3 linked regions of the Arabidopsis thaliana genome follow. The protein of the gene in region 2 interacts with the protein of the main gene of each other region in a biochemical or structural test. Each region holds a gene or a part of one and is shown on either strand. Other genes may lie near its edges. The genes, in order: WOX5, HAM1 and WOX4.

Region 1 (3,560 bases), on a different chromosome or scaffold from region 2:
AATGGTCGACGATACTAAGCAAGACAAGTGGGTGAACGATCACTTTCTCGATTGTCCTTGCCGATATTTGTTGCGTCTTTATAACATCCATTGTTGGGTTAATCAAATTCGCTTGAGTAATTCTAAATTTCTTTCTCCGGGAATGATCAAAACCTCAACTTTTGATTCCGTTTTATCTCCGACGGAACTTGAGTTTGCTTCTTCTCCAGGAAAACCCCTTTAATTAATCTTCTCTAGGCACTATGGGTTTAACCAAAGTTTGGGCCTTCTCTGTATTATAAAGCCCAATTATATGGGCCTAAAAGACAATGGGTCTGGGTAAAATAATATTAAGGATATTAATCTGTTCGTTTAAAAGAGTTGGTTTTATTCTGATAAGATTGTGCAAGTTTTTTGGTCTAATGGTTGTTGATCAAGACTTAAGTATTTCGAGATGATGTAAATTTTGTAAATTGATAGAGATAAGTTTTAAGTTTGTTTTTTTAACATCTTTTAAGTTTTAAGTTTATCTGATATTTCTAGTATTTCTGTGATGCAAATAGAACTATTCGTTAATGATGTCTTTCTTAAATTATTTTTAAAAAATATAGAAAAATACATTAACAAATCACAACCTTAGTTATATGATGATATACATATACGCATTCCATAACATAGATTCTTATATCAAACAAAATGAGACAACTTTTTGATAAACCATGCATTGGAAAATATCTCATAAACCATGCATCGGATAATATGTCATAATTCAAAATACAACAACATTTTAAAGGCTAAAGCATCTGTTTTTTTTCTTTTGTTATTGTGGTCAATGACTTAAAGAAAGCTTAATCGAAGATCTAATGGCGGTGGATGTTCCATTTCAGCTCCACATGATGAGTATGGAGAAAACGACGTCGTGGTGGTCTCTCGAATATATTCACGGTACTGGTTATTGCCTCTAGCTCTCATTTTGTCCACCTTGGAGTTGGAGTCTTCAAATGAATTCACCGGAAAGAGTTGTAATGTCTCTATCACCTTCTCTTCCTCTTGACAATCTTCTTCGCTTATTTCAAAAACATCTATAATAACACACTATTATCCATTAAATATATAGAAATATCATATAAAACAATAATGATATATAATTATATATATATATATATATATATATATATATAAAGAGACTACCTCTAGTTGATGGTTGATGATGATGATGATCAAAATCAATGGAGATTTTACGACGTTTCTGCCTCTCCCTAGCCTTATGATTCTGAAACCAATAGAAAACATTCTTGCTCTCTATCTTGCCGTAGAAACTGAGCTCCGTAGAGATCTTCTGAATCTGATCAGTTGTTGGAGTTCTAAGACCGGCTCGAAACAGATCAGTCAATATCTTCAACTGCTCCACCGTTGGATTCCATCTCCCGCACTTCGTCCCCGTTCCTCCGTTATTGTTGCCACGTAAGCTTCGACCTTTCACGGAGAAAGACATGTTCAGATGTAAAGTCCTCAACTGTTTTACGTTTTAGGGCCTGTGTATATATCCATATATATAGTAAGATTGTTCATAATAATTTATTAAGTTTTCATCTTTTCGAAAATAAAAAGAGAAATGAATTGATGAAATGTCGGGAGGAGAGGTTTTCGAGTTATGTGTCGTTTTATGATGAGTTGTTTATTACGAAATGCATGCTTTGTTTTTTTTGGGGATTTGGGAGAGACTGATCTTTGCAGATTTGATCGTTTTCTTTATCCTAACCTATCTAGGCTTCTGTTCCATCTATATTTACATATGTTTTTGTGTGTATATATTAGTATATAATTGGATCTCGCATTCATGCCATGGCATGCATAAGTTGTATATCGGAACCAGCGATTGAAACATTGAATTTGTTCTCCTTTAATTTGTGGTGACTCGCACACACTTAAATTGCGTTCTACGTAATTTCTTACTATTCATATAACATGATAAGAATAATCAGAAAGCCTTGGTGGTAATGTACTATCTAGTGTCAATATTTTAACGTTCGATATTGTAACTTCAATGCTTCAACTATTCCAAATTATGACACTAGAAATTTTACATTCACTTTCTTTTTTTTGTATTTGTTTTGAAGTTAGAAGTTCTTTACAAATTGTAGATCTAATCTGTAATCAATAATAAGTTGAAATAGCTAGCAAGTCCTAAACAAAGATTGTATGCAATTACATTATTGAGACGGATGGATGGCCGATATTAGTTTGATATGAATGAAGATGATAAGATTAATTATAAACATCATGACATTGTGTGAACAGATTGTAGTTTTGTCTCTCTTGCACAGAAGATGTGACACTTGAGGAACGTTGGTCGGCAAGTGTAGACAGGAAATTTGAAATTTTATTCTCTTTTATAAGAAAATATAATATTACAAAATCAAATATCTGAATTCTGAATCATAAAAAACTACAAAAAGAAAAGGCATTTAATAGATAGAACCAGAAGGTTCGCCACACACATGTATAATATAAGTCCTACACCAAAATATTTGTAAAAAGCCATTTATTAAGTCACCAAGAACTCCTTCTAGAATGAAGAATGGTTGAAAGATGACTGCAAGATGTAAAAATAATTTTAACCATCAATAAAAGTATAAACTCATAGTGTTTTACTAGCCTCTATATGCTATCACGTCAATTAGATCTGATTTTTGAAATCTGAAAATGAGACAGCAGCAATAGTAACATAAATCATGCATTATACTGTAAATGCTTTGGTCAAAAATTTATTTCTTAGTTAAAATCTAACTGCATTCTAGTATATAACCTGCGACCGAAAAAATATTTCACTTTTAAGCGTACAACTCATACATGCCTCAGTTTTAACAATATACAATCCAGCTCTTATAATTTTGCATAGTCTAGTTGTTTGTACAAGAAACTTATTGATGTCTATATGAACAGTACGTATGACACCAGCAGAAATAGAAAGGAAAAACTTATAATATTCATGTAGTGTGCGTTAAAATGTCTTAATAGTGAGGATTTAGATGAGACATGCACGGGATGCTAAGCAAGACGAAAATGGTCCAAATAATAAAATGACAATGTGAATAAAACCAAACATTGTTTTTATAAACAAAGTACTCTTCACTAGACAACATAACAGTACTTACAAATATCTTTGTCTCTCTCGCATATAAACTGCATCTTGTTTTTAAAATTGATCAATTCGGTGTCAAAGTCAAAGTTCACGTGGCTTATGTTACTTGGAATCATCCCAGTTAATTTACATAACATCTTTGTTTAATTACAAATTTCTTACAGAATATCTCATTACCTACTCTCGAGTCTAACTAAATAAGTAGATTTTTGGATTTAATTCGGTTTAGAGAAACTTTATGACTTAGATTTGTTAGATATATAGAAAAAAGTGGCATGCACCCAGCACCCAATTAGTCATCAATTACTGGTACTGGATGATAAAACAGTTGTGAGTTGTACATTAAAAAGTTAAAGATAGCATGTCGTGGATTTGAGATATCAAAACTCTCGTATTGGATGCCCCCAAACATATCATATACTTTGTTTTTTTGCAA
Region 2 (5,144 bases):
TAAACCATGTCTCTCATAATGACAATGCTCAAATAATAATAATAATAATCTGTTTTTTTCTTTCTGGTTTAAGAACGTAAATATATGGTTAACTCAAGGCAATACTGATACATAATAATAACATAATAAGCATGTCTACTTTACATTCATACACAAGCAACCAAGAATTTCAATCTTGTCTTGGAAATCCAGCTGCCCATCTCCTTGTTTGATTTTCATTTACTCCACTTATTGTTGTTAAATACATACATAACCACTTGATTTATTGGTAATGCTATTATATTATTGTTGTGTGCTTGTTATGGTTGTAGATGTAGTAGTGAATTAGATATAGAATAAACAAATATGTTAGCGTGATCCATGTTATGTCATCGAGGTGTTTCATTACCACGAATTTTCTTAGAAATTGTGAACAACATATTGGGACCGTGCGATTAATTTGATTTGTGTTGACAAGGAAAAAATTGTTTTATAATTTTAACATAAGTTTGGTTTCCAACACCGGTGTTTAGTACTGTTTTAATATTGTATACCTAATGTAAGTAGTTTATTAAGAATGGACAAAATGTACATTAACTACTTAATATTTAAATGAACATTTGTTTTAAAACAAATAGCAGAGTGAAAAATTTGACATAGCAATGTCATTTTCATTGACCAAAATTAATATATCAAAGTGCGATTCAAATAATATAAACTTATAGTTTAGGTTTTTAACAAAATAGTGGAAATGTTTCGAGATGCTTTCACACAAAACAATACTAGTATTTTCTTCAAAAACTTTAATACATATATATATATATATATATATGAATATAATGTAGTTTTGAAAATAAATTCCATGAACAAAAAAAGGTCCTAATAATAAATTCGAATAAAATAGTGTTAGTTATTTAACTAACACATGTTATGATTAACAACTTTAAGTTCTTTGCAAAAAAGAGTTTAGTTTTTAAATCACGAGTTAAAGTAATCGACACCACCACCATCTTAGATTTTGTAGTTAAGACTAATTAAAGAAAAAGGAAGAATACTTCCAACATAATTTAGAGCCAATGGATTTGAAGTGAGACAAAGCATCTCAGCCGTTGAAAGATTTTGGTCTCGATGTTTTCAAAAAATCTTCAAAAAGCCACACCAGAGAGACACTCAAATAGAGCACCGGTCCGTCAGATTCAGTTTCGAAAACCAGGCCCAAAGCCACCTGCCAGACTTGTTTCCCCTCTAATTACTATATTGTCCTTCTCTCTTTTGCAGTGTCTTCCTCGAATCTTAAGGGTAAAATTGGGAATTAAAGTAAATATTAGTAATGAACCATCTGCGTCAGTTTCGTCTTTTTGCTCTGTTTCCTCGGCATATGTAAGATTTTTTTTTCTTTCAAAAAACACTGTTTCAGATCAGTGACCCTTTCTTTCATTATTTTGGAGAAAGTATTCGAAAATAAAGTACGTGAAAACGGGAAATTATTTAAACTGAGAGGTGAAATTCTTTTTTTTTATTTTCCCTTCCGTTATTGTATTATTTTCCAATGGTATGTTGGAAGAATTTGTTTTAGATTTTTCGAAGATAAAGAAAAATCAACCAATAAAAATAAAAATGGCAAAAACATGTTTTAGTTCCTTTTGAGGAAATGTTGTTATAGAGGGATTATCCAGTTATAGACATCATCGCAAGACCACTAAATTCGTTGTACACAAAAATGATAAGCAACTAGTAGTACTTTGTTGTTTCAAAATTTACAAGTAGATAGAATTAGCTCGTACACAAACCTCTATAATAGTACTATAGAAGAAGCAACTTACGGCCAAAATTGAAAGAGTAAGACAAATTAAGTTGTAGGGGGAGAGTAGAGTCACGCGCTGGATTTGCGAAGAGACTCGACAATGATGGCACAAGAACACGGTACATATGTAGATAAGTACATCTACAGACATAAGCCACACATAGAGGACGAGAAACCAGAAAGAAAAAAAAGAAATGAAAATTCCTTATTACAAAAACCAAAAGATTTAGAGAGAGAGAGAGAGATAGAGCATTGATGAAGACCACTTTTTATATATTGCACGCATCCATATAACAGCTACAGAGAAAGAAAAAAGAAAGAAAGTGATTTTAGAGAAAGAAGAAAAAATTAAAGAAAGTTGGGGCGCCAATTACAAGTTTTGAGCTTTGCATGTGTTTCTTTCTTCCGTACATTAACCACTCTGAGACATAACCTCTCTCTCTCTTCTTTTGTTGTCTTTCTGTTCTGTTCTTGAGATCTCTCTCTCTCTCTCTCTCTAGGGTTATTTTTTTCTGGGTTTTTTGTTTTTACAGTTACTCTGTGTTGTTGAGGAGGCGATGCCCTTATCCTTTGAAAGGTTTCAAGGGGAGGGGGTGTTTGGTTTATCTTCTTCTTCTTTCTATTCAGATTCTCAGAAAATCTGGTCCAATCAAGACAAAACCGAAGCAAAACAAGAAGATCTTGGTTATGTTGTCGGTGGTTTTTTACCGGAGCCGACGTCTGTTCTCGACGCTCTAAGAAGTCCTAGTCCTCTCGCTTCTTATTCTTCTACCACCACCACGCTGTCTTCCTCTCACGGCGGCGGTGGTACCACCGTCACCAACACCACCGTAACCGCCGGTGATGATAACAATAACAATAAATGTAGTCAGATGGGTTTGGATGATCTTGACGGTGTTCTCTCTGCTTCTTCTCCTGGTCAAGAGCAGAGTATCTTGAGACTTATCATGGACCCGGGTTCTGCCTTCGGTGTTTTCGACCCGGGTTTCGGATTCGGGTCTGGTTCCGGGCCTGTGTCTGCTCCGGTGAGTGATAATTCGAATCTTCTGTGTAACTTCCCGTTTCAAGAGATTACGAATCCAGCAGAAGCTTTGATCAATCCTTCAAATCATTGCCTGTTCTATAATCCTCCGTTATCTCCACCGGCTAAACGGTTTAATTCCGGATCTCTTCATCAACCCGTTTTCCCTTTATCGGATCCGGATCCGGGTCACGACCCGGTTCGTCGTCAACATCAGTTTCAGTTTCCGTTTTATCACAACAACCAGCAACAACAATTCCCGTCGTCTTCTTCTTCCACGGCGGTGGCTATGGTTCCGGTTCCGTCGCCGGGAATGGCCGGCGATGACCAGTCAGTCATCATCGAGCAGCTGTTCAACGCGGCGGAGCTAATCGGAACCACCGGAAACAACAACGGCGACCACACCGTTCTCGCGCAAGGGATATTGGCGCGGCTCAATCACCATCTCAACACTAGTAGTAACCACAAGTCTCCGTTTCAAAGAGCAGCTTCTCACATCGCTGAAGCTCTCCTCTCACTCATCCACAACGAATCATCACCACCGTTAATCACGCCGGAGAATCTGATTCTCCGAATCGCCGCTTACAGATCCTTCTCCGAAACCTCGCCGTTTCTCCAATTCGTTAACTTCACAGCGAATCAATCGATTCTTGAGTCCTGCAACGAATCAGGGTTTGATCGGATCCACATTATCGATTTCGACGTTGGATATGGAGGACAATGGTCGTCTCTAATGCAAGAACTCGCTTCCGGAGTTGGAGGAAGAAGAAGAAACAGAGCATCGTCTCTGAAATTAACAGTCTTTGCTCCTCCACCTTCTACAGTCTCCGACGAGTTCGAGCTTCGTTTCACAGAGGAAAATCTCAAAACATTCGCCGGAGAAGTCAAGATTCCTTTCGAAATCGAGTTACTAAGCGTAGAGCTTCTTCTAAACCCAGCTTATTGGCCACTCTCTCTACGTTCATCGGAAAAAGAAGCAATCGCAGTGAATCTTCCAGTAAACTCCGTCGCCTCCGGTTACCTTCCGTTAATCCTCCGATTCCTTAAACAACTATCACCAAACATCGTCGTTTGCTCAGACAGAGGATGTGACCGTAACGACGCGCCGTTTCCAAACGCAGTGATTCATTCGCTTCAATACCACACTTCTCTGCTTGAGTCTCTTGATGCTAATCAGAACCAGGACGATTCGAGTATCGAGAGGTTTTGGGTTCAACCATCGATAGAGAAGCTGTTGATGAAACGACACCGTTGGATTGAAAGATCTCCACCGTGGAGAATCTTGTTTACACAATGTGGGTTTTCTCCGGCGAGTTTGAGTCAGATGGCGGAAGCTCAGGCGGAGTGTTTGTTGCAGAGAAATCCGGTGAGAGGGTTTCACGTTGAGAAAAGGCAGTCTTCACTTGTCATGTGTTGGCAAAGGAAAGAACTTGTTACTGTCTCTGCTTGGAAATGTTAGACGAAGAAGAAACCACAAATCTCTCTCTCGCTTAGCTAATTTCTCTGTTTTTCTTTGTCAGATTTTAAAATGTTGTTATGTTGTTCAATGATGTTCTTAGTTTCGAGACTGTTGTGTTTTAACATTTTAAGGAAGTCAGAATATATAATCAAAATCTCCTTTTGTTAGATTTTATTTTGCTCTTTTTGAGTTTATGCATAAATCTCTTGTCCAAAAACAGAAATTGTTAAAGAGATATGTTTTTTAGGATCTTCAGAGTCTACTTAGGACTAAAATAGACTTGTGGAAAATTCTGGTAAAGATCCTGTTACATTGTTAGGGTTAACTGGTTAAGGTCATACATTATTACATATACATTGAGAAAGGTTAGTTTATCAATTTTGAAAGAAAAAAACAATTTTATCTAGTCATTAGAATGTAATTAGGAACTAGTGAATGAATAGTCACGGTACATGCAAAATAACACATTTCTATGAAATAGTTGTATATAGTATTAAAATTTACAACCAAAAAGTGAAAGCTAATTGAATTTATCATTAGGTTTTTGGAGCTTCCAAGGTTGAATGTTTGTTTAATCGTCTCGGGTCCCTAACGGATTTTTTGGCCATGAAAAAGTTTGTTTTTCCGTCATAAAAAAGGTTAGGACTTTAATTTCGTACAATGTTTATTTTAGATGTAGGGGTTAAATGTATTTCTAAGCTTTTAGCTTTAAATATACATATCCATTATTGTAATACGACTTTTGTTCGTGAAATCACATGCTCCTAAAGTCATTGGTGCATGATATTATAATCTTAGGTTTGATTATAGAACTTTTTTATATGTTAACTACATTGGACGGTCTTAATTTGTGACCAACCTCTTCATTTAAGTATTATCGA
Region 3 (3,877 bases), on a different chromosome or scaffold from region 2:
AAAGAAGAATGTCACTTACAATAATTAAGTGCGAAAATATAGAAGAGCTACATATATCTGCGTATGTATAGAAACAGCTAGCTAGCATGCAATGTAGCGGGAAAGCGAGTGCATGGACTTCAGTGAGTGTGTCTCATATAATGCCATTTCAACTTTTAACCTAAAAAGCAAAACTCTCTCTTTGTTTCAACCAAAATACAAAACAACCACTTGCGAGAGTCAATAAAGCATCAGACAAACAACTAACCACATACACACCACAGCTTACATATATTGATGTCTTTGTACACATTCCATTGGAAATATCAAATTCTTGAAAAGATTCTTCTTGTTATCATCTCATAAACTTATTTAGTATATATTTATCAAAAATAAAAAATTAATATAAATATTATTGAGTCACCTGTTTTACTAAGAGTTTTAATATAAGTATATAACAGTACAAAAAGTTTTAGATTTCAATGTTTGTTTATATAGAAATATACTAGGTCTACCCCCTTTTCAACGGGAAATGCTATTATTATTTCCTTTTAACTTCTTGCTCTTGTACGTACGTAGGAATTAAGACAGAGATATTATTTTAACAACATCAAATGTGTCTTTATTCAGAAATTTCTCTAAATGAAACATTCCTACATACCAACGATCTAGAGAAATACTTAGATGGCCAAATCAGAAGAGAGTACAACTGATCACTAGTGAATTTGTCAAGAATAAACGCGAAAAAAAGATGAGCTAAACTGAGCATTCATAATTAAGATTACATCGCAAAAATAATCTACATAGGATACATCAAACTCGCAGATTAATAAGGGAATTCTTAAGTAGATTTTGTAGTTTTAGAGACTTATTCCTATTTTTATTTTTATTTTGAATTTCTAGATACCAATTGATTCCTCTGAACCTAAACCAGATCTACATAAGAATTCCACAATTTTCTGCCTCACCTTCATGACTTCATCTCCCTTCAGGATGGAGAGGAAAAAGCTCGAGGGTTACATTGTCAATGATTTTATTAAAAGTAGTTGCCATAGTACTACTATTTTTGTTTCTCCTGTTCTCTATCTCCAAGTTCTCAAATCCCCAGCTCCTACATGTCCTCTTGTACTCATTCTCTTCCACTAACTCCTCCTTCTCCACCATTGGTTCTCTCTACACAATCATAAAAATTATCCTTAAATATAGTTGATCAAAACCACAAAACTATACAAAATCCTTAAATTCCTACCATAATGTCTAGTGACGATGATGTTCTTGTCTTCATAGTTACACTCGGATTAAAGACACCAGTGGTCGTGAAGCTGCTTTGGCAACTTAGGCTGATGAGGTTGTTCCTCTTCTGCTTCTGTCTCTCGCGGGCTTTGTGGTTCTGGAACCAATAGAACACATTTTTCCCTTCGATTTTCCCGTACTTACCGAGTTGCAATGTGATATGCTCAATCTGTTGAGCATTAGGAGTACGCATTCCACCTTTGTACAACATCTCAAGTATCCCTATCTGTTCTTGAGTCGGGTTCCACCTTGTCCCTCCCGGGTGCGTCTCCAACTGAACCCACACATTATTTCATTACATTTGTTAGGAATCATACATTAAAATAAATAAATAAAATTAATAATAAAAGGAACCACTCCAGTCGTTATAATTTATAAATGTCAAAGTATTAGGTATGCCGCAATTATCAAAATTCTTCTAGAGTGAATTCTTCTTCTTTTTTCAAACGAAAGAAACGATGTAAAATGTACGAAGTACAATAATGGAACTGACTTGATGAGGAGGGTCTCGTTTGTGTTCAAATTTTGTCGGACCGGTTTGATCGGGTCTAATGAAGTTTTTAAGGTCAAAAGTGGCTGAAGTGACGCCGGAGGAAGAAGAAGGAGGGGAGGGAGGGCTGCCGGAGAGCTTAGGGGCGAGAGGACGGAGGCGTTTGCAGCTTAGGCTAAGGGATGATGTCGAGTCATGTTGATCCCACGATGAAGAAAACCCATTCGAAAACTCATGAACCTTCATTGCTATATGTTAAAACTAGCAAATGCTATGCATGCCTTTCTCGTTACAAGACTTAAGCTATGTATATATAGAGGAAGATAAGTGTGAAATGATAGTGTTAGTGTATAATGATATCATTGGTGATATCCAGTTGGGTAGGAAAAAGAAAAAGAATGGAAAATGAACAGATGATTTTTACAAAAGTGGGACGTCGGGAAACCAAAGACCAAATGATGGGATATGGTTGACTTTTATCATTTAAAATCTCCTTGTCCTTATTGTAAATATATACACTCAGAAATGTAAAAGCAATAGGTAAAGAACAAATTTGAAACTAATTGAAGACAGTGATCTTTGTTTGAGAAAGTGAAATCTCATTGTGTGAATATAGATATGCGTACGTGTGTCTCTACATACACGTAATACATGCGTACGTGTGATATCTGATATGTTCATGTCTGCATGGAGCACTACTTTAAATTCGGCATAGTAATGTATCAACCAAATTTTAGTTTCATGCTTACGCATGTCATGCGTGAATACCGCATAATTTATCTCTCTTATAAAATTTTCCTCTACTTGTAGTTGTAGTCTATAGTACTATGTCTTGAGATCCTATAATTTAGGCAGAATGTTGAGGGACATGAACCACGCTAAAAATAATATGTTATAGATACGTGATATCAAAAGACTTTACTATTCATTGAGATTGACATTGACCTACGAGCCAATAGGTTTGCTTTTACAGGAAAAAGGTTTGAATTTTTTTTTTTTGGGATCAAATTCTAACAAATGCATGTGATTTATTAGAAAAATCCCAAACCAAAGCTTGACAATCTTTCATTCTACTAGTTGTATAGGGACATAATTTCTCTCTCACCTTTCTTTATTTTAAGAAATTATTTTAGAAATAAAACACTGAAAAAAGTTAGCTTTAATGATAGGATGTCGAATGCTTTTCGGTGGCTCTCAAGTCTCAACTACTTTATTTAGAGAAAAGAAGAATGAGAAGAAGAATGAATAAGGGGAAAAGGTATCTTCCAATCCCAATACTCGAAATTGCTTTTATTACTTTTGTTAAGATACGGATTTTGCCTAAATTAGTGGTAGTTTATAATGAGCCAGGACAGACTTTTATGCGGAAAAGAAAAGGCTAGAAATATCTTAATGTTATATTATCATTGTTTATTTTGATAATAATACATCATTATAAATTTAAGCTTATATGTTTATTAGATATTGATACAAAAGCATGGTTTGGTTTGGCAATGTCAAGCGTCCCATTCACTTTAGATCAGTGTATTGTATTGTTATTCTCTTGTACATCGGGAACTGCAGAACCTCAATTTCCCAAGTAATTTGGGTATTTTACTAATGAAAAGTAGTAACGTATGATATTCCGGAATTACAAAGTTTTTTCTTCTAATTACTTTTGAGTTTTGACTAATATATCATCATCTTTTTATTTGATATGTAGTCTAGAATTACAAAGAACAGAGACCTTGAGTATGAACTGTGAAGAATAGTCAAAATTATTTAGTCTCGGCTAATCCAGTTATGATGCAAGTATATGTACAGTACGAAACTTACACTAATATATATGGATATCAAAGTTATGAAGGTGGAAAGTCACAGTTCATATCACTGGTTAAAACATAAAAATTGATATCATGGAGGAAATATAGAAGTACCAGTGTAGGTTGATCATGACTAATAGCTAAAATTAATAACATCTTTATCCTATGAAGATGGATTTTTTTATAGAAATTTCACATTTTTAAAAAATAATGTATACTGACAATTTTAACCTTTTAATATATTTTAAAAATAATAAAAAATATTTATCTACTTATTTACTTAGGATAAAACAGGTAAACAATTTTAAAATTT

Evidence for each region.
Region 1: the proteins of HAM1 (region 2) and WOX5 form a complex in vitro, tested with the Arabidopsis thaliana proteins (one study listed by BioGRID).
Region 3: the proteins of HAM1 (region 2) and WOX4 form a complex in vitro, tested with the Arabidopsis thaliana proteins (one study listed by BioGRID).

The regions. Positions count from the first base shown.
Region 1 is NC_003074.8:3,525,520-3,529,079, reverse strand, and holds WOX5 (WUSCHEL related homeobox 5), read right to left. Parts: upstream 1,801-3,560; 5' UTR 1,475-1,800; coding exon 1,171-1,474; intron 1,062-1,170; coding exon 817-1,061; 3' UTR 640-816; downstream 1-639. Other genes in the region: MEE34 (Mov34/MPN/PAD-1 family protein), read right to left, coding at 1-91. UniProt on the Arabidopsis thaliana protein: Transcription factor, which may be involved in the specification and maintenance of the stem cells (QC cells) in the root apical meristem (RAM).
Region 2 is NC_003071.7:18,617,229-18,622,372, reverse strand, and holds HAM1 (GRAS family transcription factor), read left to right. Parts: upstream 1-1,921; 5' UTR 1,922-2,340; coding exon 2,341-4,263; 3' UTR 4,264-4,511; downstream 4,512-5,144. UniProt on the Arabidopsis thaliana protein: Probable transcription factor involved in plant development.
Region 3 is NC_003070.9:17,235,946-17,239,822, forward strand, and holds WOX4 (WUSCHEL related homeobox 4), read right to left. Parts: upstream 2,241-3,877; 5' UTR 2,009-2,240; coding exon 1,766-2,008; intron 1,547-1,765; coding exon 1,229-1,546; coding exon of another isoform or gene 1,217-1,228; exon of another isoform or gene 1,153-1,216; coding exon 958-1,152; 3' UTR 579-957; downstream 1-578. UniProt on the Arabidopsis thaliana protein: Promotes differentiation and/or maintenance of the vascular procambium, the initial cells of the developing vasculature.